Linked DNA regions of Arabidopsis thaliana. The protein of the gene in region 2 interacts with the protein of the main gene of each other region in a pairwise test. Each region holds a gene or a part of one and is shown on either strand. Other genes may lie near its edges. The genes, in order: AT5G44960, NAP5, AT2G26030 and BAM1.

What was found.
Region 1: the proteins of NAP5 (region 2) and AT5G44960 interact in a protein complementation assay, tested with the Arabidopsis thaliana proteins (one large-scale study listed by BioGRID).
Region 3: the proteins of NAP5 (region 2) and AT2G26030 interact in a protein complementation assay, tested with the Arabidopsis thaliana proteins (one large-scale study listed by BioGRID).
Region 4: the proteins of NAP5 (region 2) and BAM1 interact in a protein complementation assay, tested with the Arabidopsis thaliana proteins (one large-scale study listed by BioGRID).

The regions. Positions count from the first base shown.
Region 1 is NC_003076.8:18,149,577-18,157,085, forward strand, and holds AT5G44960 (F-box/RNI-like/FBD-like domains-containing protein), read left to right. Parts: upstream 1-4,275; coding exon 4,276-4,890; intron 4,891-4,965; coding exon 4,966-5,193; intron 5,194-5,272; coding exon 5,273-5,413; intron 5,414-5,548; coding exon 5,549-5,815; downstream 5,816-7,509. Other genes in the region: AT5G44940 (F-box/RNI-like superfamily protein), read left to right, coding at 1-380, 597-719, 810-962, 1,047-1,316; AT5G44950 (F-box/RNI-like/FBD-like domains-containing protein), read left to right, coding at 2,089-2,988, 3,087-3,227, 3,313-3,588; AT5G44970 (Protein with RNI-like/FBD-like domain), read left to right, coding at 6,261-6,392, 6,551-7,159, 7,249-7,389, 7,477-7,509.
Region 2 is NC_003070.9:26,881,316-26,888,484, reverse strand, and holds NAP5 (non-intrinsic ABC protein 5), read left to right. Parts: upstream 1-3,315; coding exon 3,316-3,546; intron 3,547-3,642; coding exon 3,643-3,729; intron 3,730-3,814; coding exon 3,815-4,471; downstream 4,472-7,169. Other genes in the region: GDPD4 (PLC-like phosphodiesterases superfamily protein), read left to right, coding at 1,164-1,430, 1,517-1,614, 1,719-1,779, 1,870-1,950, 2,052-2,144, 2,391-2,480, 2,554-2,681, 2,761-2,929; AT1G71320 (F-box family protein), read right to left, coding at 4,667-5,298, 5,412-5,648, 5,691-6,000.
Region 3 is NC_003071.7:11,088,294-11,096,421, reverse strand, and holds AT2G26030 (F-box/RNI-like/FBD-like domains-containing protein), read left to right. Parts: upstream 1-2,977; 5' UTR 2,978-3,421; coding exon 3,422-4,330; intron 4,331-4,416; coding exon 4,417-4,557; intron 4,558-4,623; coding exon 4,624-4,917; 3' UTR 4,918-5,092; downstream 5,093-8,128. Other genes in the region: PYL2 (PYR1-like 2), read left to right, coding at 1,018-1,590; PDF1.2b (plant defensin 1.2b), read right to left, coding at 6,825-7,003, 7,078-7,141.
Region 4 is NC_003076.8:26,278,469-26,288,156, reverse strand, and holds BAM1 (Leucine-rich receptor-like protein kinase family protein), read right to left. Parts: upstream 6,447-9,688; 5' UTR 6,332-6,446; coding exon 3,733-6,331; intron 3,625-3,732; coding exon 3,212-3,624; 3' UTR 3,192-3,211; exon of another isoform or gene 3,066-3,191; 3' UTR 2,744-3,065; downstream 1-2,743. UniProt on the Arabidopsis thaliana protein: Necessary for male gametophyte development, as well as ovule specification and function. Involved in cell-cell communication process required during early anther development, and regulating cell division and differentiation to organize cell layers.

The DNA.
Region 1 (7,509 bases), on a different chromosome or scaffold from region 2:
ACAGATTTATGGAGTTTAAGTGCAGGTCACGCCTGCAAAAGTTCATGATAACGTATTTCGAACACAATGGTTATCGAGATCGATTAATGGAGTTGATCGGTACACTGGTTGATCGTGGAATTCAACATTTGTATGTTTATATGCATACTTGTAACAGAGTTGATTTCATACGTCAAAACATTTACAAGAGTAAGACATTGGTCTCTTTGAAGCTTTATAACGTAGAGTTAAAGAATCCAGAGTTTGTTGTTTCTCTACCTTGTCTCAAGATCTTGAAACTGGAGAATATTTTTCACGGTGAGGATGGTCCTTTGGTCGTGGAGAAGCTCATCTCAGGATGTCCTGTTCTTGAAGATCTTGAGCTGATTAGGCCTTTTGATGTTTTGACTCGATGAGTTTTGCTGCGTCTGCGTGTGAGCTCTCAGACTCTGAAAAGCCTTGGTTTATATTTTGCGATTAATAGTACAGGTGCTACAGATTTTTCAGTTGAGATTGATACCCCAAGACTCAAGTATATGAAATGTTATGAGAGTCTATTTCATAGAATTATGGTAAAGAACCTGAGTTCTTTGTTTACTATCGACATTAATACGAAGGATAATGTTGGCTATGGCAGTCTTACGGCACCAAAGTATTCAAGGAATAGAGATATCATCGGTGATTTTTTAACCGTGATATCGAGTGTAAGACATACGATCATCTGTTACTCGACTTCAAAGGTATAAATATATACACTCTGTGATACGTATATAACTATTTAGTTCTCTATGAAACAATTCTCACATGTATCCTTTTCATTCTTCTTGCAGATGCTTTATTCTTACTCCAAACAACTGGGACCTATTCCCCAATTCCATAACTTATATCATTTGCAGGCTAGGTTCTCAAGCTCATCGTTACAACTATTGCCAACCTTTCTTGAGAGCTGCCCAGCCTGCCCAAATCTGAAAAACCTAATCATGGTAAGAATCTGCTTGAATCTGGGATTTGGCTAAAGAACATTGTTGAAACATATAGTAAAATCAGCTTGTTCCTTTTTCTCGCAGGAGTTTCCCTTTGAGCCTAAGAATATCGACTTTCACAAAGTGCCTCAGTGTTTAATATCGACTCTCGAGTATGTTCAAATTGAAGAACTGATATTGAAGGAGAAAAGTGGGATTAAACTAGTGGATTACTTTCTTGAGAATTCAGCAGTCTTAAAGAAACTGACTCTAAGTTTCACATATCATTCTAAGAAAAAGCAAGACCCTGAGAGCTACAAGAAGCTTCTTACATCCACAAAGCTTTCTCCCACATGTCAAATTATCATCGATTGACGTGCAGCCGATGATGCTGGTGAGCACATGAGCGTGTTTCATTGAACCTTAGCGTATGAATTATCTGTACTCATGAAAAATCGTTGTTAGAATAAGGTTTATTAGGTTATCCCATCTTTTTGTTGTTTGAATTCTTTAACAACTAATGATCTATTGATCTTTAAAGGGCAAGCCTATGTAACTTTTATTGCTTTGGTTTCAAGCTATTTTGTCTCTTGAATCGGTAAAGTTACTAGATTGTTTCATTGAACGAATAGGTTGTTGGAGTATATCAGAAGAAAATAAGAATCCACATGGGCAAACAAAATGTTTAGAGATTCAGATTTTTGGTTCGGTTTTGGATTTTTTTTTAAACCGAACTATGCAAAAACTAAATGTATTAAATAATTTTTGATCAATAATATTTTACGGCATATTTTTTTATTGGTTGAATTAAATGTAGTTAATTGATTTTTTTATAGGAAAAAAAATCAAATGAGATTTTTGTGTGTTTTTAATCTTTGTGAAATATGCTCAAATATTCCCAAGATATTGCTCCACCATACTTTATATCGATTCATTTTTGTCTTTAACTGCTTAACCCTGAAACAAGATCTCTGGCGATAATCTGCCGTCAGACCAAATCGACGGTAAGTTCTTCACTCCCTTCCTTGAATGTACGTTTACCTTAGTGATTAAACCCTAGGTTTGAGATATAAAATTGAAAAACTTCATCAATGCATTGGATTTGATTTCGGATTTTGATGTCGTCGTCGTTGTTTATGATTTAGTGATGGGGCGCGATAGGATCAGCGAATTACCAGATGGTTTGCTAAATCATATACTCATGTACCTTCACATCGAAGAATCTATTAGGACAAGTGTTTTATCTAGCAGATGGAGAAAACTCTGGCTTAAGGTACCTGGTCTTGACGTGAACGTACATGACTTCCCTGCTGATGGAAACTTATTTGAGAGCTTGATGGACAAGTTTCTTGAGGTTAACCGCGGACGCCTACAAAATTTCAAGTTAAACTATGAAAGTAATTTGTATTATCTAATGGACAGATTTGTGCCGTGGATCGCTACAGTCGTTGATCGCGGTATTCAGCATCTAGATGTTACGGCCACTGATTGTCCTCCATGGACCATTGATTTTATGCCTGCCAACATTTGCAAGAGCAAGACGTTGGTGTCTTTAAAGCTCGTAAATGTAGGGCTTGACACTCCAAAGTTTGTTGTTTCTCTACCTTGTCTTAAGATCATGCATCTTGAAGACATTTTTTATAGTCCTTTGATTGCGGAGAACCTCATCTCAGGCTGTCCTGTTCTTGAAGATCTTACCATTGTAAGGAATCATGAGGATTTTCTTAACTTTCTGCGTGTGATGTCTCAAACTTTGAAGAACTTCCGTTTAACATTTGATTGGGGAATGGGTAGTAACGATTTTTCGGTCGAGATTGATGCACCAGGACTTAAGTACATGAGTTTTAGAGATAGTCAATCTGATAGAATAGTTGTAAAAAATTTGAGTTCCTTGGTCAAGATAGACCTTGATACTGAATTTAATCTCAAGTTTGGCCTCGGCAGTCCTTTGGAACCGGAGGACTTGACTAAGAGAGATATTATCCGAGATTTTCTTACCGGTATTTCGAGTGTCAAACATATGATCATCTCTCATCCTACTCTGGAGGTACGTACCTATATATTTGAAGTCTCTGATGTATTATATAACACATTGATTAAATGTACTTTAATTTTTCACATGTATCATATTCATTATCCTTGCAGGTGCTTTATCGTTATTCCAAAATCGGACAGCTTCCAAAATTCCATAACTTATATCATTTGCAAGCTGTGTTCTCCAGCTCATTGTTACAACTATTGCCCGCCTTCCTAGAAATCTGCCCAAATCTAAAAAACCTCATCTTGGTAAGAATGTGTTTGAATATGTGATTTGGCTTACAATAAAGAACCTTGTTGAAGTATAGTGTAAACTCAGCTTGTTTCTTTGCAGGACTATTCTATTTCAGCAGAGCCAGAGCAAATCGACTTTACCAATCTGCCTCGGTGTTTAATTTCGACGCTGGAGTACGTTGAGATTAAACAACTTACTATGAGGGAGGAAAGTGGGATTAAATTGGTGAAATACTTTCTTGAGAATTCAGCAGTCCTCAAGAAACTGACTCTGAGTTTCATAGATTCTCCCATGACCAACCAAGAGTCAGAGATCTACATGCAGCTTCTTACATCAACAAAACGATCTCGTGGGTGTCATGTTTTGATCTTATAATGCTTAAAGGTCAAATTATTCAACTTTTCTTGCTTTAATCTCAGTTTCTATATTCTTAAGAAAGTTGCATTTATAGACAAGGTGGTTTAGGTTTAACTTGGGAATTAAAACCTCAGGTGGTAATATTGTCTTTTTGTATTTTTGAAACTATGGAATATTCATATGGTTAAAAGCCAATTTATCTATGCATTTTATTGTTTTGGATCATCATCGAAAATCGGTTCTGTGCTATATCTCTACCATGGACAAGTATGTCGTTGAAGTAGAAAATAAGAATTTACATCTATAATGGGCTTTTGCTCAAGGTATCTTAATATCTTATACTATTTCAATTTTTGGCCGAAATTATATATTGTACAGGTTTCAATAAGGTTTCGTAAACCGCAAGTAAGTTGCATTGGTCCTCTTTTGGTTTATGTTTTTTTTTATAGGGCCCTTTTGGCCCTAAACCCAAAAATAAGATAAACCCCCTCGTAGGATTTCTCGAACCTGATCGATTCAAGTATTTAACGATCATCTTTCTAATTATCAAATCAAATCAAATCAAATCTGCCGTCAAATCAAAGCCTAGTAGGATTTCTCCAACTCCGGCAATAATCTGCTGTCAAATCAAATCGACGGAGACGGTTATTTCTTCATTCCTCATCGCACGATTTTGATGTTGATGTTGTTGTTCAGGATCTAGGGATGGAGGAGTGCGATTATATCAACGAATTGCCTGATTCTTTACTAACTCAGATACTCTTAGACCTTCGGACCAAAGATTCTGTTAAGACAAGCGTGTCGTCGAAGAGATGGAGAAATCTTTGGTTAAACGTTCCTGGACTTGACTTATTCAGCCTTCAATTCACAAATCCTCATCATGAAGAAGGCTTGATAAAGTTTATGGACAGATTTATGGAGTCTAACTGCAGGTCACGCCTGCAAAAGTTCATGATAAGGTATTTCGAATGCAATGGTTATCGAGATCGATTCATGGAGTTGATCGGTACAGTGGTTGATTGTGGAATTCAACATTTGTATGTTTATATGCATACTTGTAATAGAGTTGATTTCATACGTCAAAACATTTACAAGAGCAAGACATTGGTCTCTTTGAAGCTTTATAACGTAGAGTTGAAGAATCCAGACTTTGTTGTTTCTCTACCTTGTCTCAAGATCTTGAAACTGATGAAAATTTGTTACGGTGAGGATGGCCCTTTGGTTGTGGAGAAGCTCATCTCAGGATGTCCTGTTCTTGAAGATCTTGAGCTGATTAAGCCTTTTGATATTTTGACTCAGGACGTTATACTGTTTCTGCGTGTGAGCTCTCAGACTCTGAAAAGCCTTCGTTTATATTTTGCGACCAATGGGAGTGGTACAGAGTTTTGAGTTGAGATTGATGCTCCACGACTCAAGTATATGACATTTTACGAGAGTCGATTTGATAGGATTATGGTAAAGAACATGAGTTCCTTGTTTAGTATCGAAATTAGAGCCAAATCTAGTTTTGAGTATGGCGGTCTTTTGAAAGCAGAGGATCCAAGAAAGAGAGCTATTATCTGTGATTTTTTAACCGTGATATCTAGTGTAAGGCATATGATCATTTCTGGGAGCATTCTAGAGGTATATTTAACAATTTATTGTATTTAATTCTGTATGAAAAAAATATCTTCACATGTAATTTTTGTATTTTTTGTTGCAGGAGCTACATTCTTATTCCAAACTAGGATGGATTCCCCAATTCCGTAACTTATATCATTTGCAGGCTTCGTTCTTCGGTACATCGTTACAACTATTGCCAACCTTTCTTGAGAGCTGCCCAAATCTGAAAAACCTAATCATGGTAAGAATCTGATGGATCTTTAATTTGGCAAACTAAGAATATTGTTGGAACATATTATGACATCTGCTTTGTAAGAATCTGCTTGAAATATGTGATTTAGCTACAGAACATTGTTTGAATCATATTTTTTCGTAGGACTATGGGGCATTTAAGGAAGAAAATATCGACTTTCACGAAGTGCCTCAGTGTTTGATATCGACTCTCGAGTATGTTCACATTAACAAACTGATGATGATGGAGCAAAGTGGGATTAAACTAGTAAATTACTTTATTGAGAATTCAGCAGTCCTCAAGAAACTTACTCTACGTTTCTCATTTTTTTCTTCTATAGAGAGCGAGAGCTACAAGAAGCTTCTTACATCAACAAAGCTTTCTCCCACATGTCAAGTTATCTTTGTTTGACATGCAGATGATGATGCTTGTTAGCACATGGTCTTGTTTCATCTTTTGTTGGTTTTGTTTCAATCTCAGGACAGAGAGTTACGCAGTTAAATTATATTTTTGTCTTTTTTCTTTAAGAATTAATATTTTAATTTCAACATATAATAATTGTAGTTTAGATATTATTAATTAATAACTAAAAGAAATTTCCATTTATCTAGTTGTACTAAAGAAAATTTTAATAGGGTTTGGATTCATAATTTATTTGCTATATAAAAGCAATTCGTTCTTCACATTAAAAACAAACAAAAAAAACAATTCGTTATTATTCATTCGGAGAGTTCTTCTGATTCCTGCTTTGATCGTTACGTTTCCTGTGATTGTTTAAACCCTAGAATTTGGAGAAATCTGAGCAAAACACCTTTTGATATTGTAGTTTTAGAAGCTTTTAGGGTTACGTCTCATAATGCGAAACGATATAATCAGCGAACTTCCAGATTCTTTGATAACTCAGATTCTTTTATGGCTTCCAACCAAAGATTCAGTTAAGACAAGTGTTTATCGACCAGATGGAGAAATCTTTGGCTTGAAGTTCCAGGTCTAGACTTAAACTCCGTTGACTTCCCTTTCCCTTACAGAGATATCATCAAGAACTACACTGAAAGATTTCTTGAGTTTAACAGTGCGTCAGGCCTTCAAAAGTTCAAGATGACAAATAATCACGGCAACTACAATGTGTGTTGCGACAGATTAAAGGAGTGGATCGCCGCAGCGGTTGATCGCGGGATTCAACATTTAGATTTCGAGACCAAAAATCCTTCTCTCTTTCTCAAAGATTCCATGCCTATGAACATTTATAAGAGTAAGACATTGGTGTCTTTAAAGCTTGTATGCGTAGAGCTTGAGAATCCAAAGTTTGTTGTTTCTCTACCTTGTCTCAAGATCATGCATCTAGAAAATAATTGGTACGGTTATGATGCTCCTTTGGTTGTGGAGAAACTCATCGCAGGGTGTCTTGTTCTTGAAGATCTTACCGTGGTAAGGATTCATGATATGGTAATACCAGATCTGCCTCTTCTACATGTGAAGTCTCTGACACTGAAGATCTTACGTTTAGTGTTTGATTTGGAGATGATGACTACTATACCTATTTCGGTGGAGATTGATGCTCCAAAACTAGAGTATATGAGTTTTATAAATAGGCACTCTGATACAATCATGGTAAAGAATCTGAGTTCATTGTTCAAGTTAAATCTTGATACTGAATTTGGCTACAGTTCCTTGGAACCGAGAGATATTATCCGTGACGTTCTCACTGGTATATCGAGTGTAAGACAGATGATCATCTCTCAACGTACTCTAGAGGTAAATAATGTTTCTCTGTGATTAACAATTTAGTTTTTCTAGCTATGGAATGATTCCTCACTTAATAACATTCTGTTTCTCTTTTGCAGGTCATATGTCGTTATTCAAAACTCGGGCCTATTCCCAAATTCCATCACCTATCTCATTTGAAGGCTGCATTCTCCAGCACATCATTACAACTATTGCCCGCCTTTCTTGAGAGCTGCCCAAACCTGAAAAAACTCATCTTGGTAAGAATCTGTCTTTGATCTTTGATTTGGCAAATTAAGATCATTGTTGCATATATTGTAAGCTGATTAGCTCTTTTTATTTTGCAGGACTTATATGTTTCAGCGGAGCCAGAGGAAATC
Region 2 (7,169 bases):
CTTCTAATTTTATTTGATACGTACACTCTGTGACTCTAGAGATGTGGAACAAATGAGAATAAAATTGTTTTGTTATTAGTTTTTTTTTTAATATAACAAAAAAATTAAAGAAAATAATTTATAGTTTGATGGACTTTCTCTCTTTTGTGCAGTTGAGAAAATAAAAGGACTTTCTCTCTCTTCTCTCTCTAGATCTTTTAGAGAGAGGAAGTTTCTGATGCTCAAACTTGGCTCCGACAATAGCCAGCTTTTTTAGTGGTGTTGGTTGGCTTCCTTCTGGCGTCGTTAGCTCCTTTAGCAACGTCGGCTAGCTTTTCTCCGACATCGGTGGTTTCTTTAGCACCGTTGGTCGGCTTCGTTCTTCAAATTTAGTTTTTGCCTTTCAACCTTGTTCGATTCTATTTTGCTTCGGTTTTAATTGGTTTTGATTTCTCTTTCTCTTCATTTCGATCTAAATTTGTAATTTTTCGATCCTCCCTTCTTTAAGGGGCTTAATTTGTTCTTCAAGCTTATTGAGTTTTCATTTTAAAAGATCAAATTTTTAGTTACGGATTGAAGTTTAATTTAGTGTCTTTTGTTTGATTTTGATGAAATTAGAGCTGTTGTTTGTCTTTCTTGTTGCCGATGCTTGTTGAATCGTTTGGGTTTATGTTGTTTTTCCTTTAAATGGCAGAAGTCGAAGTCGATAGTTTGTGAGCTATTTCTTTCTTGAAGGTTTTAAATTTTACAGTCATTGTCACAGAAGATTTGTCAATTGTCTCATCGGATTTGTAGCTGCTTCCGATTTGGCGTTTACAGCAATTCCGGTGAACTTAAGTTTTTTGTGGTTATGATTCTCCACCTGCGACATTCTGCAACTCATCATTTTCTGTTTCCACGTGTCCTCTTTACCGTGTCTCTAGTGCCATGTGGGCTTTGACTTATTAGCACATTAGCTTTCTCTTCTTCAGAAGGTGGTCTTTGGGCTTTTGTCCGTTTATGGCCTGTTATATGGCTTTGTAAAATATGGCTTGTTAAAAGGCTTTGTAATATAAATAATAAAACAGTTGTGACAAAAAAAAAAAAATATATAGTTTGATGGTGATTGGTGAACTTCTTTTTTTTCCAAGATTGCAGTAAACGTCGTCTTTAGCTCCAAAAACAACCTTTGTCTTGTTCAGCTAATGGCGATTTTTGAATGGCGGCACAGAAGACGGCCATTCGACGGCGGAGGAACTCGTCGCCGTCGTTTCTTCAGCCCATTGTATTCGAGAAATTTCAAGAGAACGATTCTCTTCGCTGTGATTTTCTTAGCTATCTTCCCTCCTCTCTACTTCCATTTCAAGCTCCGACGAATTCGTCAGATTGTCGCGCAAAAGTGCGATTGGCTTCACCATCCTCCACTTGTCTGTGCTCACGGCGGCGATTCCACCCTCGCTTTCCCAAACACTGTACGTACACTCTCGATCTCTTCTTCTTCACACTCTTGCTACTAACCTTTTTAAACCTTAATCTCTTGGACTCTTCTCAATCGTAGATGGACGCTTACAGTTTCGCTATACGTTCTCGAGTTGATTGCATTGAAGTCGATGTTTCTCGTTCCTCCGATGGTGTTTTATTCGCTCTTCACAACAGGTTACAGACTCTGATCCTTGTTGTATCATCTTCTTCTAATGTTTCTGTGTTTGGATTCTCATCGGTGTTCTTCTTATTCATCTTCTGATCACACGCACAGTCAGGGATCTGCAGCGTATTGCTCGTAACTCTTCTGTTCAAGTTGGAGATCTGAGTATGAAACAGGTCTCATCTCTCCCTCTCTCTCTTTACCAGCTTTTGGGATATGCTTTTTTGCATCCATTTTTCATAAACCTTTTGATGATCTTTTTGCAGATCAAGGAACTCGATGTCTCGGAGATTGTTAAAGGAACCTTGGGAAGTAGTAGGATTCCTACTCTTGAAGAGGCTTTAGCGGTAATGCCTGTTTTTTTAATTACTATCTTGTCATTGCTTTGCTTTGTAATTTCTGCTTAGTAACAAGTGGCTGAAGCTAGTTTTGATCTTGAATCATCTAGTTGATATCGAATTCAGTCCGGAAAGTGATCCTTGATGCCAAAGTTGGACCGCCAATGTATGAAAAGGGGTTAGCACAAGACATCCTTTCTATTGTAAGTACTATGTTTTTGTTAGCTCTTGTACTTGTAAAGCTTTAGTACAATGTGCTCGAGATTTATAAACATGTTTTGATTCCTTAATAGCGTTGCTTAATCATTTATTTCCTGGTATCTTTGTACACAAAGCTAGAACAGCTTACTATAGATACTTGAAAAAACAAGAGTATGGATAAATTGTTGATGTTTCAATGGTGGTATTTCTGGCTTTGCTCACATGAATCGCCAATCCTCTGTTGTTAGATTGAGAGAGCGCAGTGCAATAATTGCATCGTATGGGCCAAAAGCGACACTTTGGCTAGGGACATAATTAGACGAGCACCAGATACTATGGTAAACAGAAATGGATTGTCTTGTGAGGATCAGATAGAGAAGTTTCTTGCTCATTTCCTAGTGATTTTGGCAGGTGGGATACATTGTGATGGTAGATCCTTTGACTGGGGCGAGAAACAGCCTGCTGAGAATGAAGGGAGCTAGGGTTGTGGGAGTTTATCATCCCTTGATCGATGAAGAATTAGTTAGAGTTGTCCGTCGGTAAGCAATCGATTTCAATGTTTTCAAATAAAAACACACCTGCTCATGTGTTTACAACCTTGCTCGATCTGATCAACAGGAGAAACAAAGAGGTGTATGCATGGACTGTGGATGATGCTGATCCCATGAAAAGGATGCTTCACTTAGGTGTGGATGCTGTTGTGACGAGCGATCCATCTATGTTTCAGGGTCTCATGGAAGATCTTAGAACTGAGTGTCTTGAAGAAGGTTTTTCAATACGGACGTGAGAATTTCTTTTTCGAGCATTCTTAATGACTGTAATACCAACTCAGAAGTTTTTGGCAAAGATCTTTCTTTATGTTGTTTTGCTGATCCACAAGTTTTTGACAACTACACACTACGACGCCTTGATACACAGTAAGACGAGTCTTTCTCAAGAAAAGCAAAGTATGGCCGGTTCTTGATGAAGCCATTGCTTCTATCGATACAGCTACTGATAATCTGATCCAGGAGACTCTGAGGCAACACTTTTCGGACTGCACAGTGAAAACAATCTCACACAGATATCTTCTTTTATACATAACGATATGAGCCTGCTCCTAGAACAAGGTCTAATACACTTGTATTTAAGTTTAAATAATCAGATGACTGATATTAAGTCTGTTTATATAATATGGATAGAGAACGATATGATAAGGTGATTGAAGCATGTTCTTTGAGTAAAGATCTGGAGATACTTTCATTCGGTGATCAGACCGTCATTGGAGAACGCGGCATCAATTTGAGTGGTGGACAAAAGCAAAGAATACATATTGCACGCGCTCTCTACCAAGATGCGGACATCTATCTGTTTGATGATCCTTTTAGTGCTGTCGATGCACACACAGGGTCACATCTCTTTAAGGTACAATCTTCTTACTTAGCCATTAGTGTGATTGTGATTTCTCCTTCCGTAAACAATCATGTATCAAATTTATTTTCATTCTCATACTTTTTTCAGGAAGCTCTACGAGGGCTTTTATGTTCTAAATCGGTTATATATGTAACCCATCAAGTTGAGTTCTTACCTTCTGCTGATCTTACACTGGTATGTGAATAGTTCACTGTCTTTTATCATTTTCTACAGCACTGAGAATATGAAATCATCCATAACCGATTTTCTTATGCCTCAGGTCATGAAAGATGGGAGAATCAGCCAAGCTGGAAAATATAATGATATCCTCATCTCTGGAACAGATTTCAGGGAGCTTATAGGTGCGCATCAAGAGTCTCTGGCAGTAGTTGGGTCGGCTGATGCCAGTTCTGTTTCTGAAAACTCAGCTTTAGACGAAGAAAATGGTGTTGTGAGAGATGATATTGGTTTCGACGGGAAACAAGAAAGTCAAGATCTGAAGAACGATAAATTAGATTCTGGGGAGCCCCAAAGACAATTTGTTCAAGAGGAAGAGAGGGCGAAAGGTAGCGTCGCTTTGGATGTATACTGGAAATATATCACACTGGCATACGGAGGAGCTCTTGTGCCTTTCATATTGTTGGGGCAAATTCTCTTTCAGCTTCTACAGATTGGAAGTAACTACTGGATGGCTTGGGCTACTCCTATTTCTGAGGATGTGCAAGCTCCTGTGAAACTTTCTACGTTAATGGTTGTGTATGTTGCTTTGGCATTTGGAAGTTCCCTCTGCATTCTTGTTAGAGCCACGCTTCTTGTCACGGCTGGTTACAAGACTGCTACTGAACTGTTTCATAAAATGCATCACTGCATTTTCCGTTCTCCAATGTCTTTTAAAATTGCAAAAACTTGTTCAAAAACTTGTATATATTCATCATAACTATATCCAAATATGTATTATATTGACAGAAAGAAAGAAAACAAGAGAAAATAAAACATAAAAATAATCCATAATGTCAAATAAAGAAATTACAATATACTTAAAATAAATAAATATCTAAACATCTTTTTTTTAAAAATATTCTTTTTAACTTACATATAATATTGTTAAAAATTGAAAGTATAATTAACAACATCAAAGCATCAAATTTGAAGGAGAAATCATTGTTGGCAAATACGAAATCGTTCTTTGTCTAAAAAAAGAAACTTGATCTTGACGATTTCTGATATTTGAAAAATAGGCAGCCGCTAGACCAAGCATCCAAAACTTTTCATGTAATTGGTTGGTTCTTATAACGTCAATCTTAATAGAATATATTTTCTCCCATTTTTCGGTAGGATATTCTTGGTGTAAACTCCAAACGACCAAATTTGAACTTTCTAGCACATCCGATAGGCACAAACGTTCATTCAGATTCCACATTTCTATATTAGTAGCATATTTGGTGTCACACTCTGGTAATAATATCCATCGAAATTCTTCAGTGTGAAGATCGATAGCTAATAGCTGGTAAGATGTTTGACTAAGCTTCTTTAATGTCAACCAAAAGAGGGATCCGTTGGCGTAGACTGATGTTTGCTCATCGCAGAAGATACAATGATGTATGTCATAAAACCCTACGTCTCTTTGCTCACCATTATCAAGGGATAGGACCTTGGCCTTGAACTCATGATCATGTATTTCATATCTTGTATATATCAAAACCACCTTATAAGATTTTTTAACAATATCTTTGCCAAATCCAGCAAGAGACGGCATTCTCTTCACTAATCCACCTTGACGAAAAATTTTTTTTTGATAAATAGGTATATAACATATTACTATGTGAAAGTTAAAATTCAACTCTATAATCAACCATAGAACAAGAAAGTTGACAAACCAGATATGTCATAATCCAATACTGATTGAGAAAGTTGTCTCCATGGTTTATTGGCCATTGCGGGGGTTAAGTAACTAAGAGTAAATGGCCATTGCATAAATTCGGGAGAAAGTTTCATGTGTTCTTTAGTCGTCGGATTGATCAAGTAAATGGACCTGAAATCGTCATGGATCCGAAGCAAGACCAATCCATCACAAGACCCCAATACTTGAATAGTTTTATTTTGAGATTCGTCGACTGGATCACCAGAAAAAGTGTAGTAACTAGAAGAAGAAAGACAAGTTTTTCTGTTGTTTTGATCATCTCTAGAAAAAGTCTCCAAAAGAAAAGTTATTGAGTTTGAATATTCTTCAACAAAATTCGCTGTAAAGTGTTGACTAATATGAAGAAATTTCATATTAGGGGTTGGTAAGCCTGTACGAATGAGTCGTTTGTGGGAAAAGTAGGTTGATTCGATCATCGATGTCCATTTTTTTGATAAGACTTTGAATCTAGCCAGTGATTTTATTGGAAGATGGTGAAAGATCCCTTCAGCTATATCATCTGGTATAAATATTGTCTTGGGATTATTATGTTTATCATTCTCCATTCTTTTCCTACGATGATGATTCTTGGAGTAGATTTGTGTATCTCTATATATAAAGAAAATAATGATCTAATGTTGGATTTTTAACTTTAGATTTAACATTAACTGTGGCGAAAAATATATAACACTATTAATTTATATTAGAATAATAAAGAGCAAATAAATAAACATGTATTTGTTTATGCTATAAATAATAAATGTTGATTAATATATGTTTATATTATTCCTAAAAATAATGAAAATAAATTAAGACAATTTATGATTAAATATGCTTTCATTTAATTTTCTTTAGCAATTAATCCCTTAGAATTAATTCTTTGATAGATTTTAAAATTTCATCTACAAATTCTTGAAAAAGGTTTGGTATCTACTTTTTTAATCCTAATTAACTAGATTAGAACATGTCCGATGTGCAATAGACCGTGGTATATAACGATGCATGTATCATCCATTCTTTAACAATTAATCACCTTCAACAATGCAACACTCTAAAGTCTTAACACTCTAAAAAAGATTTAACACTAATAATTTAGTTTACAATTATGAATTAGAAATAATAAATATGTATAATAGGCTATAAATATATATAATATAATCTTACAATAATTTAAAATATAGAAATGAAAATCTTACAATAAATCTTACAATTTGAATACTGTAAAATGATTGTAACATTGATCTAATAACATATTGATAATGTGAAATTGCCGAGCTTTTTTTCTTCTGCAGACCGAGGGATAGAGAGGAGATGGAGAGGCTTCAGGAGAGAAGGGTGACATCAATACGCAGCGTTTTGAAAGAACCTAGGAATTAAATTTACATTTAACCAAATCAATGTAATAAAACCATTGGTCCGGTCTGACCAATTTACCGCTCCCTAACTAAACCGACTACGTACCGTTTTGAAATCCTTCCCTAATCAGAATCTTGAGATTACAGAGAGAGCAGCAAACGTCGTCGTTTTAGGTCTTATCTAATTAACCTAATCATATATATGAAAGTTGGTCAACTCTCTCCCACAATTTGACACATCAGCACATGAGAGCTTGGCACCTAGACTTCATAAAATAAATAATACATAATTAGTAATTAATTCAACATAATAACTAAAATAGGAGGATATAATTAATCAGAACTTGAACCATCACTCTTTCTACATTTTTTAATTCAAT
Region 3 (8,128 bases), on a different chromosome or scaffold from region 2:
GATCAAGCATCGAACATCTATTATGGTAAGACCTAATTATTAAATACATGTGCAATACAGTGTTACCGTCCCACTAAATCAAGGAATAATACAGAGAATTTTGTTAACTACAAGACAAAATAACCCAGCTCTGACCACCACCTTTCTTTCTTTTTTTCTTTCGAGACCCAAAAGAGTGGTGACCGGATATTTATTTAATATTTTGTCATTTCCCCACAGTTTTATTTAAATTTATAAAATAAAATATTGGAGTAGGTCCATCAATTTAGTTATTGGATTTTGGGAGGTGGTTGGACCAAGTCTTAATGTGTAGTGACTGTTCATTGAAAACATAATTATATGCCAATGTTAACATTATGTATTAACTGATTTAAAGTTTACTAAAACCACCTTTACAATAAATAAAATTTCACTTCTAGAAATAAAGATTGTTTTCACCTTATAGGTTAAAGATATTGAGTTCAATTTACGCCAATGTATAAATCCTCTACATAAATAAGAAGATGGAAACTCTTTGACAAAATGGGCTTATAAATAAGAAATGATCTAGTTTTTGTATTCCCTCTTGTTTAATATTTTTACCCACAAATTAAGAAAGCATAAAATATTCATTTAATTGTTCTCTTTACATAAAAAAACATTATTAATTAAACTGAATTCAACTAATATAAAAAATGATTGTAAAATATAATTGGTATAAAAATGCATTTAATTTGTATAAAAAATTGAAAGCATCACTTAAAATGAAACTTTTTGTTTTTGCTAAAACATCACTTAAAATGATACGGGAAGAGTATAAGTTAGAACAAGAGTTAATATATGGACAATAAACAAACAGAAAGGGATAAATCCGTCCAAAGAACAACACCCATAGATTTGTAGTAATATATAAAAAAACACTCATAGCTCCCAAAAAAAGAACTGTCTTTTATTCTCATCTCTTTCACAAACCCCCCAACCTCCAACAAGAAGACCTCTCTTTCATAAAACCCTCACACGTGTGACTGATTCATCACCATGAGCTCATCCCCGGCCGTGAAAGGCCTAACCGATGAAGAGCAGAAAACCCTCGAACCGGTTATCAAAACGTACCACCAGTTCGAACCAGACCCAACCACGTGCACTTCTCTCATAACCCAACGCATCCACGCTCCGGCCTCCGTGGTTTGGCCTCTTATCCGCCGCTTCGACAACCCCGAACGCTACAAACACTTTGTAAAAAGGTGCCGTCTCATCTCCGGTGATGGTGACGTCGGAAGCGTCAGAGAAGTGACCGTAATCTCCGGCCTCCCAGCCTCAACCAGTACCGAGCGGCTTGAGTTCGTCGATGACGACCACCGTGTTCTAAGCTTCAGGGTCGTCGGCGGAGAGCACCGACTCAAGAACTACAAATCAGTGACGTCGGTCAATGAGTTCTTGAATCAAGATTCCGGCAAGGTTTACACGGTGGTTCTTGAATCTTACACCGTTGATATTCCCGAGGGAAACACAGAGGAAGACACTAAAATGTTTGTGGACACTGTCGTCAAACTCAACCTTCAGAAACTCGGAGTTGCCGCCACATCTGCACCTATGCATGATGATGAATAATTTCAAGTTTATTTCTTATATTTTCTCTCGGTAAGTTTTTTCCTTTCTTCTGATGATTATTGATTATTTACTTAATTTGTGAGATTTACTATTGGAAGCAAATGTTTAATTCGATTCCGTTAACGAAACTATTGTTGCATAACGCATATTAGTTCTCTGTTTATTTTTTTCCAATAAACGGCAAATCACGAATTCTGTCATTTGATTTTGCTTTTTCACCATCTATTTTTGAATAAATTTGGACTATTTTTGAATAAACTTTGGACTATTTTTGATGATGTCAAAAATTGGTATTACACTCTTAATTAATATTGGTTATAGTTGGTCTATAGTATTTGCGCTACAAAGAGTCAAGAAATCTTGCCGGTTATCAAAAAGCAAAAAGGAACTTAGAAATCACTTCTTGTCGCAATGTTGAATTAGATTTTTATTTACCTTACCAAAATCATTCTTCTTCTTCTTCTTATTAGGTTAACGTTTTTTAGGGCACCTTTGAAAAAAGTTTATACATATATATTCCGATGGTTTGTGTCTCCACAAAACTTGTCCAATACATTTTTTTTCATTAATTATAGTCGTCTTAAAACATTGGACCGTTGTGATGTGTAGTCTAGTTATTTGTGTTGCTATGTAATTGTATCACACATTCAGATTTGGTCCCCTTTACTATGTGTTATTAAAAAAAAAATGGTAAGAATTGCGCCACAGTAGTTCCAGTTCAATAAAAATAATATAATTTTTTGTATTACAAGAGGAATCCATGGTCTAGATTCGTGTAGAAGCTCTTTTGCCTTTCACTTCTTTAAAGTGCTGGAAAAGAGAAGTGTGTCACATTATGCATGCAGCCATGTACTACTTCCAATGGTTGTGTCTCCACAAGTTGTTTTACCTTTTCAATAGAAAGACAAATACAGTTTTTCTATTTCGCTTGATTTTCTTTTTCTTTTTCCTCCAAAATTGCTTTAAAGTAAAGTATATCTAATTGACAGTAATCTTTAATATTCAGAAATATATATACTTTATATTTTCACTTGGAATTGGAAGTATATATATTACATATTAAATATAATCTAACTTTTTATTTATAAACAATTAAAATCTATTGTTAACTAAATTTAGTTTCATATTTAAAAAATGTTAGAATTATATTTATAAATAGGTTTTTAAGACATAGTTTTTTTTTTAAACATTATAACTACATATTATAACTAATTATGATCTTCTTCTAACATAATTTATTATCTTTTTTATATAAAAAAAATCTCTTTACAAATTTTATAATCAATATCTTCTTAAAAAGATAGCTAAAATCCATTTTCTTGGATACATATTATTTTTATTTAAAATATATTATATTTAATAGTATCAATAGTGTTAAAGATATTATATGGTTTTGAACATTATAATAAACATGTGATAATAAACATTATAGTAAAATCCTTCCAAATGGTCCTGAACCGAGTCAGCATCCAGACAAACTATGTTCTTCGGTTTGATATCATTTGAGTACTGAGTAGACATTCACATTTTGGGATAAGAAGAGTTTTTTTTCATAAATCGTAAATAAGATAAGAAGATATCAATGGGCTTATTCAAGCCCAATTAGGCCCAATCCCCGATCGTATCAGATAACAACGCCGGCGACGGTGACACGTTCACATTCACATTTTGGGATCAATTTTGAAACTCTACTCCGATAACTTCAACCATAATTCTCCGGCGAGTCAGATCGACGGTGAGTTCTTCAGACCAAGCTCGATTACATGATTGTGTGTCTGATTTTGGGATCAGTTCTGAAACTATTTGATACTTTAGGATTTTGTTTCTTGCGATGAATTGCGATAGAATCTGCGAATTGCCAGATTCTTTACTAACTCAAGTACTCTCATACCTTCCGACCATAGATTCCGTTAAAACAAGCGTTTTATCGAAACGATGGGAATTTCTCTGGCTTAGGGTTCCTGTTCTCGACTTAAAAGTCAGCGATTTCCCTGACGAAAACTACGCAAGCTTTATCGACAATTTTCTCGAGTTTAATCGAAAATCACGAATGCGAAAATTCAAGTTGAAGTATGATGAATACACTTACGACGATGATCGGTTAGCTGGGTGGGTTGTAACAACGGTTGATCGCGGAATTCAACATCTAGATGCTAAAGGTTTTGAGACTAATATGTGTGTAAGAGAGTTCATGCCTCAGAATATTTATAAGTGCAATACATTGGTGTCTCTAATGCTTGTAACCGTAGGAATCGAGAATCCAGAGTTCGTTGTTTCACTACCGTCTCTTAAGATAATGCATTTAGAAGATGTTTGGTATTATGATGATCCTTTGATCATGGAGAAGATTATCTCAGGTTGTCCTGTTCTTGAAGATTTTGTATTGATTAGGCCTATTGATTTTTGTAATCTAGATGTTCTGCAGTTTCTTCGTGTGAGGTCTCTGAGTCTTAGAAGCTTTCGTCTTACGTTTGAGTATAGTGTTTCTTGTACGTATTTTTCGGTTGAGATTGATGCTCCTAGACTTGAGTATTTGAATTTTAATGATGACCAATCTGATACGATTGTAGTCAAGAACATGACTTCTTTGTCGATGATTGATATTGATAGTGAATTTAATGTTAAGTTTGGCGGCAGTCGTTTGGAACCGGGGGATTTACGCAAGAGAGATATCATCCGTGATTTTTTAACCGCGATATCTTGTGTAAGACATATGATCATCTCTCGGCGTACTTTAGAGGTGAAATATGTATTTTTTGATGCATATATGTGACAAGAAATGTACTTTGATTCCCTGTGATGTATCCTTTTCTTTCTTTATTGCAGGTCCTAGATCGATATTCGAAGTTGGTACCTATTCCGAAATTCGATAACTTGTACCGTTTACAAGCTGCGGTTTCTCGATCCATGTTGCAGTTGTTGCTTGTCTTTCTTGAGAGCTGCCCAAATCTTGAAAACCTCATCTTGGTAAGATTATGAATAAATCTATGATTTGGTTAGTTAAGAACATCTCTGAATATATTGTAAACACAGCGTGTGCACCTGCAGGACTTTACTGTTTCAACGGAGCCTGAGCAAGATGGACTTACCTATGTCCCTCAGTGTTTGTTATCGAGTTTGGAGTGTGTTGAGATTAGAGAATTGATTATGGGAGAAGAAACCGGGGAGAAATTAGTGAGGTATTTTCTCAAGAATTCAGTAGTTCTCAAGAAACTCATTTTGCGTTTAGAAGATTCTTCGATAGCAAACCAAGATTCAGATATCTTCAAGGAGCTTAGTACTTTCACAAAGCGTTCTCGCAGCTGTGAGGTTATCATCATTCATTGACAATGTTTATAGAAGATCATTGTAGAAATCTTTTGTTATGAAAAATTTGCAATTAGGCTTAGCCTTTTCCAGACATTGGTGTGGATAATATTAACTGTAAATTGTATTACTTTCTTCACTTACTTGTAAGATGTGATTATGATTGATTATAAAAGCAATTAAATTACGTACGAAATACGTTAAGAAGGATTGTTTTAACGACTGAATAGTGTTTTTTATTTACAGAATGGAAAATTACATTAAATTGCTACCAGACTATAGACAAGAATGTAGACAAGAAGAAACAGGTCTGGCTTTAATAACGCTTTCTCTTGATATGAGAAAATTTAGTTGGTGATCTACAAAAACATCCGGATCTTGAGTTTTTTTTTTGTATACCGTAATTCAACTTTTTAAATAATGTTTAATTTCTTCAACGTAGTCATGAGATAAGCTATTGAATTGACTCTATGTCGAGTGATTTAACTTGAACTTCCTATGAAAACATAGAAATAATTTCTTTCTTTTGACATATTCCGAAGATAAGGGTGATGATGGCAGCAAACTTATCCATGATAATTATTATTACTTTGCTTCAATGTATGTGTTATGTAAAGAAATAAGCTTATATTCAACCTTTATTTATAATGAAATGTTGGTGAGTTTATTTTCTACTTGTGAGCTGTACAATAACGTGGTAACCCCACAAATTACACACACAACGTCTGCTCGTAGCTGATATTAAAAGATAAGATCTTGGCTTATTAATAGTTGATGGCTTGTTTCTCCACCACATATTTTTTCTCTGTCAATGTCTAATGTATCCTAAGTTTTATTCAAAAAAAAAAAAATTGTATCCTGAGCGGCTGCTTTGGCTTTGAGCTAATGCTACATCGATCACATGCATGGGCGGCTGGTTAATCTGACTCGGACAAAATTCAAGAAAATAAGATCTTAATCAAAAAGGTAGGTAAAATGTAAAAACTTAAGATTGCCATAGTTAGACAAGTTTATTGATATGTCCGAGATTTTCACACTTAAGAAAAGTGTAGTTCGTAGTCTGAGTCGAATAAAATACCTCGGAAGTAACTTTGTACAAAGTTCCTGAACGGTAAAATTAAACCATATGACAGGAGCAAGCAGGTAAAACCAAGCGGTCGAATGTTTCCGGTTAAAGCATCACCCTAATTAGACTGTTAGACATATATCGTAGTGGACTATGCCATGATTTGGTGTGTGTTTTTTTTGCCAAAATTCAAACATGTTTAGGTTTTAATTACAAGACTGTATAACCTATGGATTTGGTCCATGGCAAAAAAAGTTAAAAAGCATTGAAGCAAAGATAATCTGTCCATCAACATGATTTGGTTGATCTCATCATCGTAGTTCGGCCAAGTTTGCAAAACAAGAAACTGCTCTAGAAAATTAAAGTTTTCCATTTACATTTTACGGGGAAACACCTTTAACTGAAAATTGGATTAGTCATCAATGTGTTGCTCTCATCGGCAGTAGGTTTTCAAACTAGCTTAGTTGGCTATAGATAAACAAACCGTTGTTGGTCATGGCTATGAATTTAGAGTACATATATAGGCAAAATGATATGATATGAATTTAGAGTACTTTTGATTAATAAAAATTAATTTTAACAAAAAAATAATATGGATTCTATTATATATTAATAAAGTGTCAATTTCTTGTGAGAGATACGTACTATGTCCTTAAAAAATAGTATGTATAATGGTCGTGTTGTAACCAAATATGGACAAGAAAAAAGTCCTACGTCGTACTTAAATTTTATATTTTTATAGAAAAGTCACACCAAACATTAAAACATAAACATGCATGCCTTAAGTCACTCATAGAATGACACAGACTTATTTTTAAAAATATAAATACACATCGATAAAGAACCAAAGAAAATTGGTAAATTAACATGGGACGTAACAGATACACTTGTGAGCTGGGAAGACATAGTTGCAAGATCCATGTTTTGCTCCTTCAAGGTTAATGCACTGATTCTTGCATGCATTGCTGTTTCCGCAAACTCCTGACCAAGTACCACTTGGCTTCTCGCACAACTTCTGTGCTTCCACCATTGTTGGTACTTCTGCGTATGTTACATCTCTCTAGTTATGTAAATGAACATTACATTTTAATTCATATTATAAGAGCATTACTAACCAAAAGCTGCAAAGAGAACAAGAGCAGCGTAGATAAAGGTGATGATGGAAGCAAACTTAGCCATGATGATTATTACTACTTTGTTTTCAATGTATGTATGTATGTGTTGTGTGAAGAAATAAGCTTAAGAGATCAACCTTTATTTATAATGAAATGATGGTGAGTTTATTTTCTACTTGTGCATGGTACAATAACGAGCTAATTGTACCCCACAAATTAAACACACCACGTACGCCTTCTCGAGCTAATATTAAAAGATAAGATCTTGGCTTATTAATAGTTGATGGCTTGTTTATCTACCACATATTTTTCTCTCTCAATATCTAATGTAACCTAAGCGGCTGCTTTGGCTTTGCATGGGCGGCTGGTTAATCTGACTTGGACAAGATGCAAGAAATAAGATCTTAACCAAGCCAATAGTTACACAAGTATATTAAATTCAGAGATTTTCACAGTTAGGAAAAGTGTAGTTGGTAGTCTGACCTTCGTCGAATAAATACCTTGATAGTAATAGTGTAAGCTATTTCATAATTTGTGCAAAATTTTTGAAAGGTGAAAACTATATATATGAACAAGATAAAACTAAGCGGTCAAAATTTTCCGATTTGAGCATCACCCCTAGACATACAACATAAGGGACTATCGACATGGTTTGGTTGATCTCAAGAGCAGCATCGTTCAACCAAGTTTTCAGAATAAGAAACTGCATGCTGTCGAAGTTTCCCATTTACATTTTACCAGGAAACACCTATAATCGAAAATTGGATGATTCATCAATCTCTTGCGCCGGTGGTAAATTTTCAAACTAGCTAAGTTGCTATGTATAAACAAACCATTGTTGGTCGTGGCTATGAATTTAGGGTACATAGGCAAAATGCTATATATATATATATATATATATATATATATATATATTGTGAGTAGTTCTTAGTTATGGAAATTCAAACAAATATGGATCCGATGAAACAGTCGTATGTAGTATAAATACTATTCGGAGACATGAAACAAACTGTTATCGATGCCTGATGTATGTAATGCTCGTCCCATTGTC
Region 4 (9,688 bases), on a different chromosome or scaffold from region 2:
CTAATTGGTGGAATCTGGAATCCAAAGGCAAAACAAAGCTAAAGTTTTGATTCGCAATTATAACTACATGCTTTAAACAAAGTTTTACATGATAAATCCAACTTATCGAATATGTGATCATTACTTCATTGCAATTTGTAAGCGATAAAATACAAGAGTCCAAACTAACATTTGGTTTGCTGACATTTGGTGTGAAGGCGTGGTTCGCCATCGATCTTATTATTCATCCATTGGTCAGCTCATAGCTAAAATTTCAAGATAACAAAGATTTCAAAAAGCTGATAGATATTGTTTATGCATGTGCATAACTTATAATAATGGCAGTAATGATTACGTATTAGACAATGCATTATTAGAAATTAGATCATGCCTGGTAAAATATAGTAAGAAGGTTTGATCATGCAAAACATTATAATATTTCTCTATCTTGTAAATAATGAGGCAAGTGAACTTTACAGCTAATTGTAATTTAATTATTTTTAAAAGAGCTATGTGCTTAAAATTCAAAAGGATCAGAAGCATTTGGAAATATTTGTCACGTTTGATTTTCAAAAATGTATGTCAACAAATAGAAAAAGTGGCACTTAACCAATTGTCTCTTCTTCTTTTTGTCCTTTCAGTGTCACCTCACTATTATTACTTTCTAAATTTAACCATTATTAATCTCTGATGATAATTCTCTGGTTACAAGAATATACATTTACAAATTTACAATCATCTCCTGCTTTCTTCTTTAAGAAAAAAAGAGTACTGCAATCATCATAATATACAAGTACATCATTACTCGTGAAACTATAAAACTCAAAAGTGATTTTGTTTACGTCGATGAGCATTTACGAAACAAAGCGAATCTCTACCTAGCTAGCACCACGTTACGATATCATCGTATATGACATATAATTTTCTCACACACATTTTCTTGACATACGACGGTCTCATATGTCACGGACGTTCATCCATGAATCAAATTCATATACTAACTATTTACGTCCTTTATTTTACTTAGTTCAGTCATATGTCACGGATAAACAAACGGTCATTCTTGATGTCCCCAAGAGCATTCCAACTCCATTACATATATATATGTAAACACTATAAAATTTAAACGGAATGAGTAAGATTTGGGCCAACACAAGTCACTAGTACGTGAATCATAGTAAAAGGTAGAGCCACTATAATCATCTTACATAATTAGCTAGACACTTTCGTATATTATATAGTGTTAGTGATAGCAGGTACGAATATTAATTAGGGTTTTTGTGTTTTTCTTCTTATGATGACCAGCAACTAATTATACCTAATCACCTACACTAAATTCTGAAATCTTTTAAGAAAATTGAGCGGCTAATACCAAATGTATACAAACTGCATTTCACATATCAGATCAATTGATAAATTTAAATTTCTAAATTTTGTTATTGTAATTTACCTTGGTGTAAGGATTCTCTTTAGCAACTACGAGGGATGGGACATAACTATGTCGGGGAAAACAATGAAGGCCAAGATAAAGACAAAACGGACCCATTCAAAACACAGTGCACTCCTTCTTCTTTCTACGTGTCTCTGTCACATCACAATCATAAATTCCACGTGGCATTTTCACCCCTAAAACTTACCAATTAAAATGTTTGGATTGATATTTATATGTGCTACATAACTGATAGGTCTATAGCATAGACACAGAGTAAATTGAGTTAGAAAATTGGAGTAGTCTAATTTTCAGTGCTTATGAGTTGTCACAGACGAAAATTCTTTGAGATAAAAAAAGTTTCTAATTAATAGCTTTCTTTTGTCCGGAAATTACGCATAATGTGAGAATATAAAGCTGATATGAAATGACATTAACTATTGTTTTTCCTGAGTCTTTTACCTTTATGATCCATCGAACATGAATATCCCATGGACGCACAGTGAAATGGAAAATAGTTGTTGTATATGTGATGAAATCGTGAACACACACGCAATTGATGTGTGCATCAAGGAAATTACAAAAACACTTTTTGTTTGTTTGTGAAATAAACGTTACGTTTATGAAAAAGATAAAATTGCAGTATCACTCGTCAAATTCTTGCTTGGAGTATAGTAATGAAAGAATCATAAACATAGCAACGGAATTTGCTAAGTGGATGACACTTTTTGGAAATGTCACTAACTTAGTGAGTGAACTAAATCACATTTTAGTGCAATATGTTATCATAGAGTTACGTGAGAATCCCTATCAAAGCTAACACTTAGCCCATGATCTAGTTAGGCTGTTATCTCCAAAATGTGAACAAACACGAAGATAGCTACAATTTTGTTTGTTTGGTCCAATTTTCTCATTAAAACCTAGACTTAGATCTACAATCATCATTGGAAACTACGTACAGCCAAATGAAAACCATATTAATGTAAGTTGGGTGTGGCTTATATTTATGAGTGATCGATGAAATCATAAATGCTTTACATAGAGTAGAAATTGCTTCATGAGCAGGGAATAGAGAAGAGATCTCATCAAAATCATTAAAGACTTAAAGACTTTGGTATATATTTTGCATGTGGGAGAAATATCACCTTATAGGCTTCTCATATTAACTCAAAACCAATCATTATCTCCCCACCACATTTATACCTTTGACCTCTCACATGCTTCCTCTTTAATTATTCTTCCAAGTTAACATTTTCACCAAACGCAAACGCAACCACAACTTTAACCGCTCTCAAACATCTTGTTGATGGAGATCAAATATAATTTCTGTTTGATGAAATTTCTTTCAGGTTATTGCAGGTGTTAGTAGCTACATTTGAATCTTTGTAACAAAGTCAAATACCTAAAAACAATAAAGAAGGTGATCGTTCATATCAGTTGCAGATGCGTGACTCTATAGCAAGACATGCAAGAGTGTTCACATTACACATTTCACTCTTTTCAAGATATTTTGAAATTCCTTCAAAAAAAAACCAACTGTACATTTTCATTAACACAAATTACAAACTAAATAAAGCCGAATACCGATTAAAAACATAAAAAAGGAAAATGAAACACACTTAAAAAGAGTTTAAACAACCTTCTTTCAAAAAAAAACCTACTAAACCGGACCAAAGCACAAACCGTACTAAGAGGGATTAAAGTAAATTAACAACCAAATCTCATCGCTAATAACATTTATGAAAAGACAAATTTACCCCTTATACCGGTACCCTAAATTAACCGCCGTGAATCAGAAAACTCTCATAGATTGAGTAGATCCGGCGGACTTTGAACACCAGACTTCGGCGAAAGCTCACTCTCCGGCGCTGATTCCGTCATCGGCTGATCCTTCGACGGTGGCAACTTCGGGATCTCAGTGAGAATCTGAACAACTTCTCTCATAGTCGGCCTCTCAACAGCTTGTTCTTCTACACAGAGCATCGCTACATAGAAGACGTGCGTCACTTCATGAATCGGAATCGAAGAAAGTCTCGGATCCAATACTTTCAGAACCGAATCCTTGTTCGAATCAGTCATTTTACGAACCCATTGCACTATATCGACACCGTCTCCAAATTCTCCGACAGGTTTTCTTCCGGTGACGAGTTCCAAAAGAACCACACCGAAACTATACACATCGCTCTTCTCATCTACCTTCAACGTATACGCATACTCTACACAAACACCAAAACAGAGCAAAAGATAGTAAAGTTAGAAACTTTAAAGAGAAAAACAGAGCAAGAGATTGTAAAGTTAGAAACTTTTTTTGAAGATTTTAGTACCTGGAGCTATGTAGCCGTAAGAGCCAGCGATTGCAGACATACATTCAGAAGTACCGGAATCTTGAAGGAATTTAGCGAGACCAAAGTCAGCAACATGAGCTTCAAAGTTTGAATCAAGGAGGATGTTGTTTGATTTGACATCTCTGTGAACGATCAATGGAGAACAATCGTGATGAAGGTAACAGAGTCCTTTAGCAGCTTCAAGAGCAATCTTGTAACGTGTGTCCCAATGCAAGTGTCCTCCTTTCTTACCGTGAAGCACCTCACCGAGACTACCATTAGGCATGTACTCATAGACAAGTAGATTCGTCTCGTGGTTTGAGCAAAATCCGAGAAGCCTCACTATGTGTCTGTGTCTTATCCTTCCTAAGGTTTGAATCTCTGCGTTGAAGCCGTGATCATGGGAAGATCCACGAGACATTGCAGCGAGTCTTTTAACCGCGACTAGATCACCATTAGGCATTACGCCTTTATAGACAATACCAGCTCCTCCTTTGCCTATAATGTTGTCTTCTTTGAGAGAATCCAAGACATCGTCACACGTGAAGTCTAGTCTCTGGAAAGCTGTTAACCTCCAAGCCCGTGACTCACTCGCCTTTTTCAATGATCTAGCTTTGATTATGGCTACTACCGCGAACGCAATCGAACAAACAAGTAGTCCAAGAACAAGCAATAACTTCATAGAAGCTGATAAAGGTCCTTTACTATGACTCTGGTGACCTCCTTTAGCAACACCGTCTTTACAAGGACCAAGATAAGGACCACAGAGATCAGGATTACCCAAGAACGATGTGTAGTTGAAGTAACTGAATTGTCCTGTTCCCGGAACTAAACCGGAGAGGTTGTTGTAAGAGAAATCAAGAGATGTTAAGCTCTGCATTGACGAGATTGAACCAGGGATTGATCCAACCAGATGGTTTCTCGACAGGTTCAAGTAATTCAATATCTTCATAGCAGTGATCTCATTTGGGATTTCACCGGAGAGCTCGTTTCTGCTCAGATCAACAAACGTTAAGAGCTTGCAACGACTAATCTCCGGCGCGATTCGACCGGAGAACAAGTTGTGGCTGAAATCAATCTTCGAGAGCTGCTGAAGCTTCCCTACCTCTGAAGGAATAGGACCTTGGAACTTGTTTCCATCAAGAAGAAGTTTCTGAACGCCGGTGAAGTTCCCGATCGCCGGAGGTAATGGACCTGAGAGCTGGTTGTTTGATAAACTGATCTGACCAAGATTAACAGAGACACCTCCGGCGACTGGTAACTCTCCGGAGAGATAATTATCTTGGAGCTCCACTTGAGTTAATTTGGGTAATCCGAATAGTCCTTTTGGGATTGACCCGTTCAGGAAATTCTCACCCATTCGGATCCGGGTCAAAGACTCACATTTACCAAGAGAATCAGGGATTGAACCAAAGAGAAAGTTTCCAAGAGTGATTAAAGTTTCTAACTTGTTACCGGAGCACATGTTCGGCGGTAAAGTTCCGGTCAGCTTATTGGAAGAGAGATCGACGAGATTTAGTTTACCGTTTTCTCCTAATTTCTGCGGGATGCTTCCGGTGAAATTGTTCTCCCAAAGCTGTAACACTTCAAGCTCCGGCAAATCTCCGATGAACTCCGGTATCTCGCCGTGAAGTTTGTTACGGAAGAGATTCAAAAGCGTGAGATTCTTCAACTCTGCGAAACTCGCTGGAATCTCTCCGGTGAACATGTTGTTAGACAAATCCATTGATTTTAAACTCGATAGCGTTCCTAGCTCCCAAGTTAATGGACCGGAGAAGACATTCACTTGCAAGAAAAGCGTATCGAGTTTCTGAAGCTTCCCAATCTCCGGCGGAATCTCACCGGTTAATCCGCAATTAGCTCCGTCGAATCTGACTAGCTCCGATAGATTTCCGATCTCTGGAGGAAGACCGTCTTCGAAAGCGTTGTAGTAGCCGATGTAAAGCTCCCGGAGAGTCGTTAGGTTTCCGATCTCTGGAGGGATTTTCCCGACAAGCTCGTTGCCGGAAACCGCTAGATACTCAATAACTGGCCAGCTTCCGTACGAAGGCGGGATCTTTCCAGCGAAGTAGTTACCACCGAGGTGAAGGTGCCGGAGCTGAGTCAGATTGGTGACGGAAACCGGTAAATCTCCGGTTAGATTGTTGTTGTAGACATCAAGAACTCGGAGATTCACCAATCCAGAAGAAATCTCATCGGGAAACGAACCGTTGAAGACATTGTTCGAGAGATTTAAGTGACGAAGACCGGAAAGGCTCGAGATTTCCGGCGGAATCGGACCGGAGATTAGATTTTCAGCGAGTGATAGATTCTGAAGAAGACGTAAATGAGAAACATCTGGGGAAAGAGTACCGGAGAGGTTGAGACCGGAGAGATCAAGAGAAGTCACGTGACGGCGAGATACATCGCACGTGACACCAATCCATGTACAGAAGCTTGTTGAGACTTTCCAGGAAGAGAGAGGCGAGTTTTTGTCATCTCCGGCGCCGGTGAGAGAGGTTTTGAGTGAGAGGAGAGCACGGAACTCGGAGATTGGTCGGCTTGCGGTGAAGGTATGAGAAATGTGGAGAAGAAAAAGAAGGAGAAGAAAAAGTTTCATTGTTTCTCTCTATCTCTCTTGTGTGGGAGAGATTAGGGTTGTGAGATGGTGTGAGTGTAGAGAGAAGGTAAGTGAAGACGAAGAAGAAGATGAGGAAGGTGTGAATTTGTTTTATATTCGTTCCACTTGTTTTTGGAATTGTATATAGGTGCCACGTCAGATTTGTGATTTTATTACATTACTAATCATAACACTAAAAAGTAATTGGAGGTAGACAAACACAAATTACAAAATCAATAATACTAGTGCTGATTTGATAAAACAATCAAGTGATAGATTGCAGAAGAAACGATATTTGATAAAACAGTAAAAATAGCCTGATACTAACATTTGAAATTCAAACATTTGCAGATAATTCTGATTCCAACACATCATATGCTTTGACGAAATGAATATTGTATTATTTAGAACTTTGTACGATGGAGAATATACTATTATTAGGGAAAGGTTCATTTATTTTGTTTTGGAGTCATGTTGTTCTTGAAACATTTGAATGGTGATGTTCTCAAGTATTGACAAATTTCCTTTAATTTCTCATTTCATATGACCACAATATACATTTTCTAAATAATCATGTGTAATGTACTAATAAATAGAGTAATTTTTGTTTTATTTTGAGAGACACAGGATAATTGTATGAGCATCCAACAAAATAAATGTAGAAAGATTAACTAAAATCCCTCAAAAGATACAAGAGGTCATATTCTTAATCGTATGGTTTTATCGGAAAACGACAAAAGCTAAAAAGATCGTTATTGGTAATCTAATCCTATACGTAATAAGTTAATTGATGCTTTAAAGCGAAAAAACCCAATAATTAATGTAGATGAACGGTCCAGATGCAATCATTCCAATGGATAGTCAAAAAGTTTACCACTGTGGAACCCACTCTTTAAAAGAGAGGTTTATGGTAATTGGGCCGTATGAATTGGGCCCATGTGTCTGTAAATAAAATAGTGAATTATTATGTTTTTTTTGTACTTGTGCCTTTTTGCATTAACAATGCCACAATGGGGTCGTATTTATTTGATTTGGTCGATATATCAAAGAAAAAAATCAAATGAATTAATTTCACTTTCCAATATATATATACGAATCCAGACGACATATAAAAAATTCATTTCTGGAAACATAATAATATTTCTAATACAAAAACCAGCAAAATCTGTTGAGAAGAGCAAAATATAAAAGTTAGAAAAGCAACATGAAAGTAAAAAAATATTTAGACTTCCTTCTTTTTGTATAGTGTGAATTGACTTTAATTAATAAAAAAAAGTGAAAAAGAAAATTAAAAGAGATTGAAAATGATTGATAATTATTAGAAAAAGTTATAATTTTGCTGGTGGTAGGAAATTAACCGAAAGTTTTGGTCAAATATTTATTTTGACTGAATACATTCTTGACCATGGAACATCTACGTAATTACATCTTTTACCACTAAGGAGCTCTTTGGACTTGAATGGACTGCTCGTTCGGTTGCTATGAATTGACCAAATCAGCCTTCGAGTCCAAACCAGAGATTGTCGGTTTTGGGATAAGTATCGAAAAGACGAAAACACCCTCTAGCTCGTTGTTATTAATGCAGCCGTCTGGACAGAGGAGACTGGGGGCATGATCGTAATCGTGTGTCCAGCTAACGAGGTTTCTTTGCCGGTTGCTACAGTTCACTGTCACTGATCTATCTATAATCATTTCTGCATTCTCGTTTCATCTATAAGTATTTGTATATATGTAAATATTAAAATACTAGTCACAAATTTATATGAATTTAACCATACAATTGTTTTGTAATCTTCTTTTTAGACTTTGATAGGGAGAATAATCAACCTTCTTAAGCAAAATATCATACTCAAACAATGTATTTTTATTAGATAAATTCAAATAAATTTCGAAAAATTATTGAGCAAGAATTATTGACAATCTGATTTGGTAAGCACGTGTGAAGGGAGCTTTATGTAAGAAACTTTAAGAAAGATGTGGGAAGTAGGTGCTTAATGAGATTCGTTTATTTGATTTTACACTTCTTTCTTACTCTCTTCTCTATTTCTAACCCTTTTTCATTTTTTTAAAAAGTGTCTTGAAAACTCAAATTTAAGTAAATAGAAAAATAGATTGAGATGAAGGATAATGAGATAACATTGGGTTAAGAGTTAAAATAGAGAAGAATCCAAAGCCAAAAGCAAAGTTGTTTAACGATGGAATCACGTTGTATCCATTACCAAGTTTCTTTTTGTTTTGTTTATTCTCTAACCGCATCGTCTCGTGCTGTGTTCCTTTCTGTCTCCTTAAATGCACATCTCTATAAGGATTCTTATTACCAACACACAATCTTGATTCAAATCTCTTTACTCACCAAAAAGATAACTATGATTAGTAATACGTATATGAATGGAATGATTATACCATATCTTTTTTCTTTCGAACCAAGATTAAACGGAAGAATAATAAAGCTCAACAACCATAGTTGATTTTAGTACATTTAGGAATTTGAAAGTTAACTATTATTTATGGAAAGACTGAAGCACAAAGTTAAGAATTAGGCAGTGATATGTTTTGCTTGTTTTGAAATCATGTAATAATAGAGAGAACATGTTGCGAAAGCGACGCTTGATGAAGCAAAAAAAACCAAGACAAAGGTCTTAACAAAGTCATCTTTTTTCCTTTGGTTTGAAAAAAAAAAGTTGCTTCAATTTTCTAGTGGTTCATTTGAAAGGTGAAACACGACCCAATAAAAGTGAAAATGGGACCATAAACATGTCATCTTCACATCACCACTCTGTTTCTGAGTCCGACCATCACGGACATAAAACATGGTCCAACTAATTTGATACAGTCAGTTCCCATAACTTATCTCTCTCTACGAGTTACTCTTACTATGTATGATCACTTTTTAAAACACTTTCAATACTTGCGAAACTGTATTTTAAATATTGGGAAAACAGAGAGAATTAGAGAGGAAACATGTTCTGAACATTATATTTATTACCACTCGTAAGTCACTTTCCATTTGCAGGATTTACTTATACCTAATGGTGTCAGATTGAGTTTGTGTCTCTTTTACAACAGTATCGCACCTTCTACATCCAATAGACAACTAATGAAAGCTAGAATCAATCAAAACAGATTTACACTAGAAAGAAAAGGATGATACCACATTGAAAAATTGATGAATGTATGAACAGGATGGTAACAATTTAACTTAGAATCGAAATTTTGGTATGAAATCCTCTGAAGTCTGAAGAGTTTTAGGTTTAGTTGAAAATTAGAGTACTGTAGTAGTTTGAGATCCTCTAGACGAAGCAGAAGGTTCCATCAAATTCTATTTGTTTCGCGGGCCAACCCGCAAGCCCGATATTT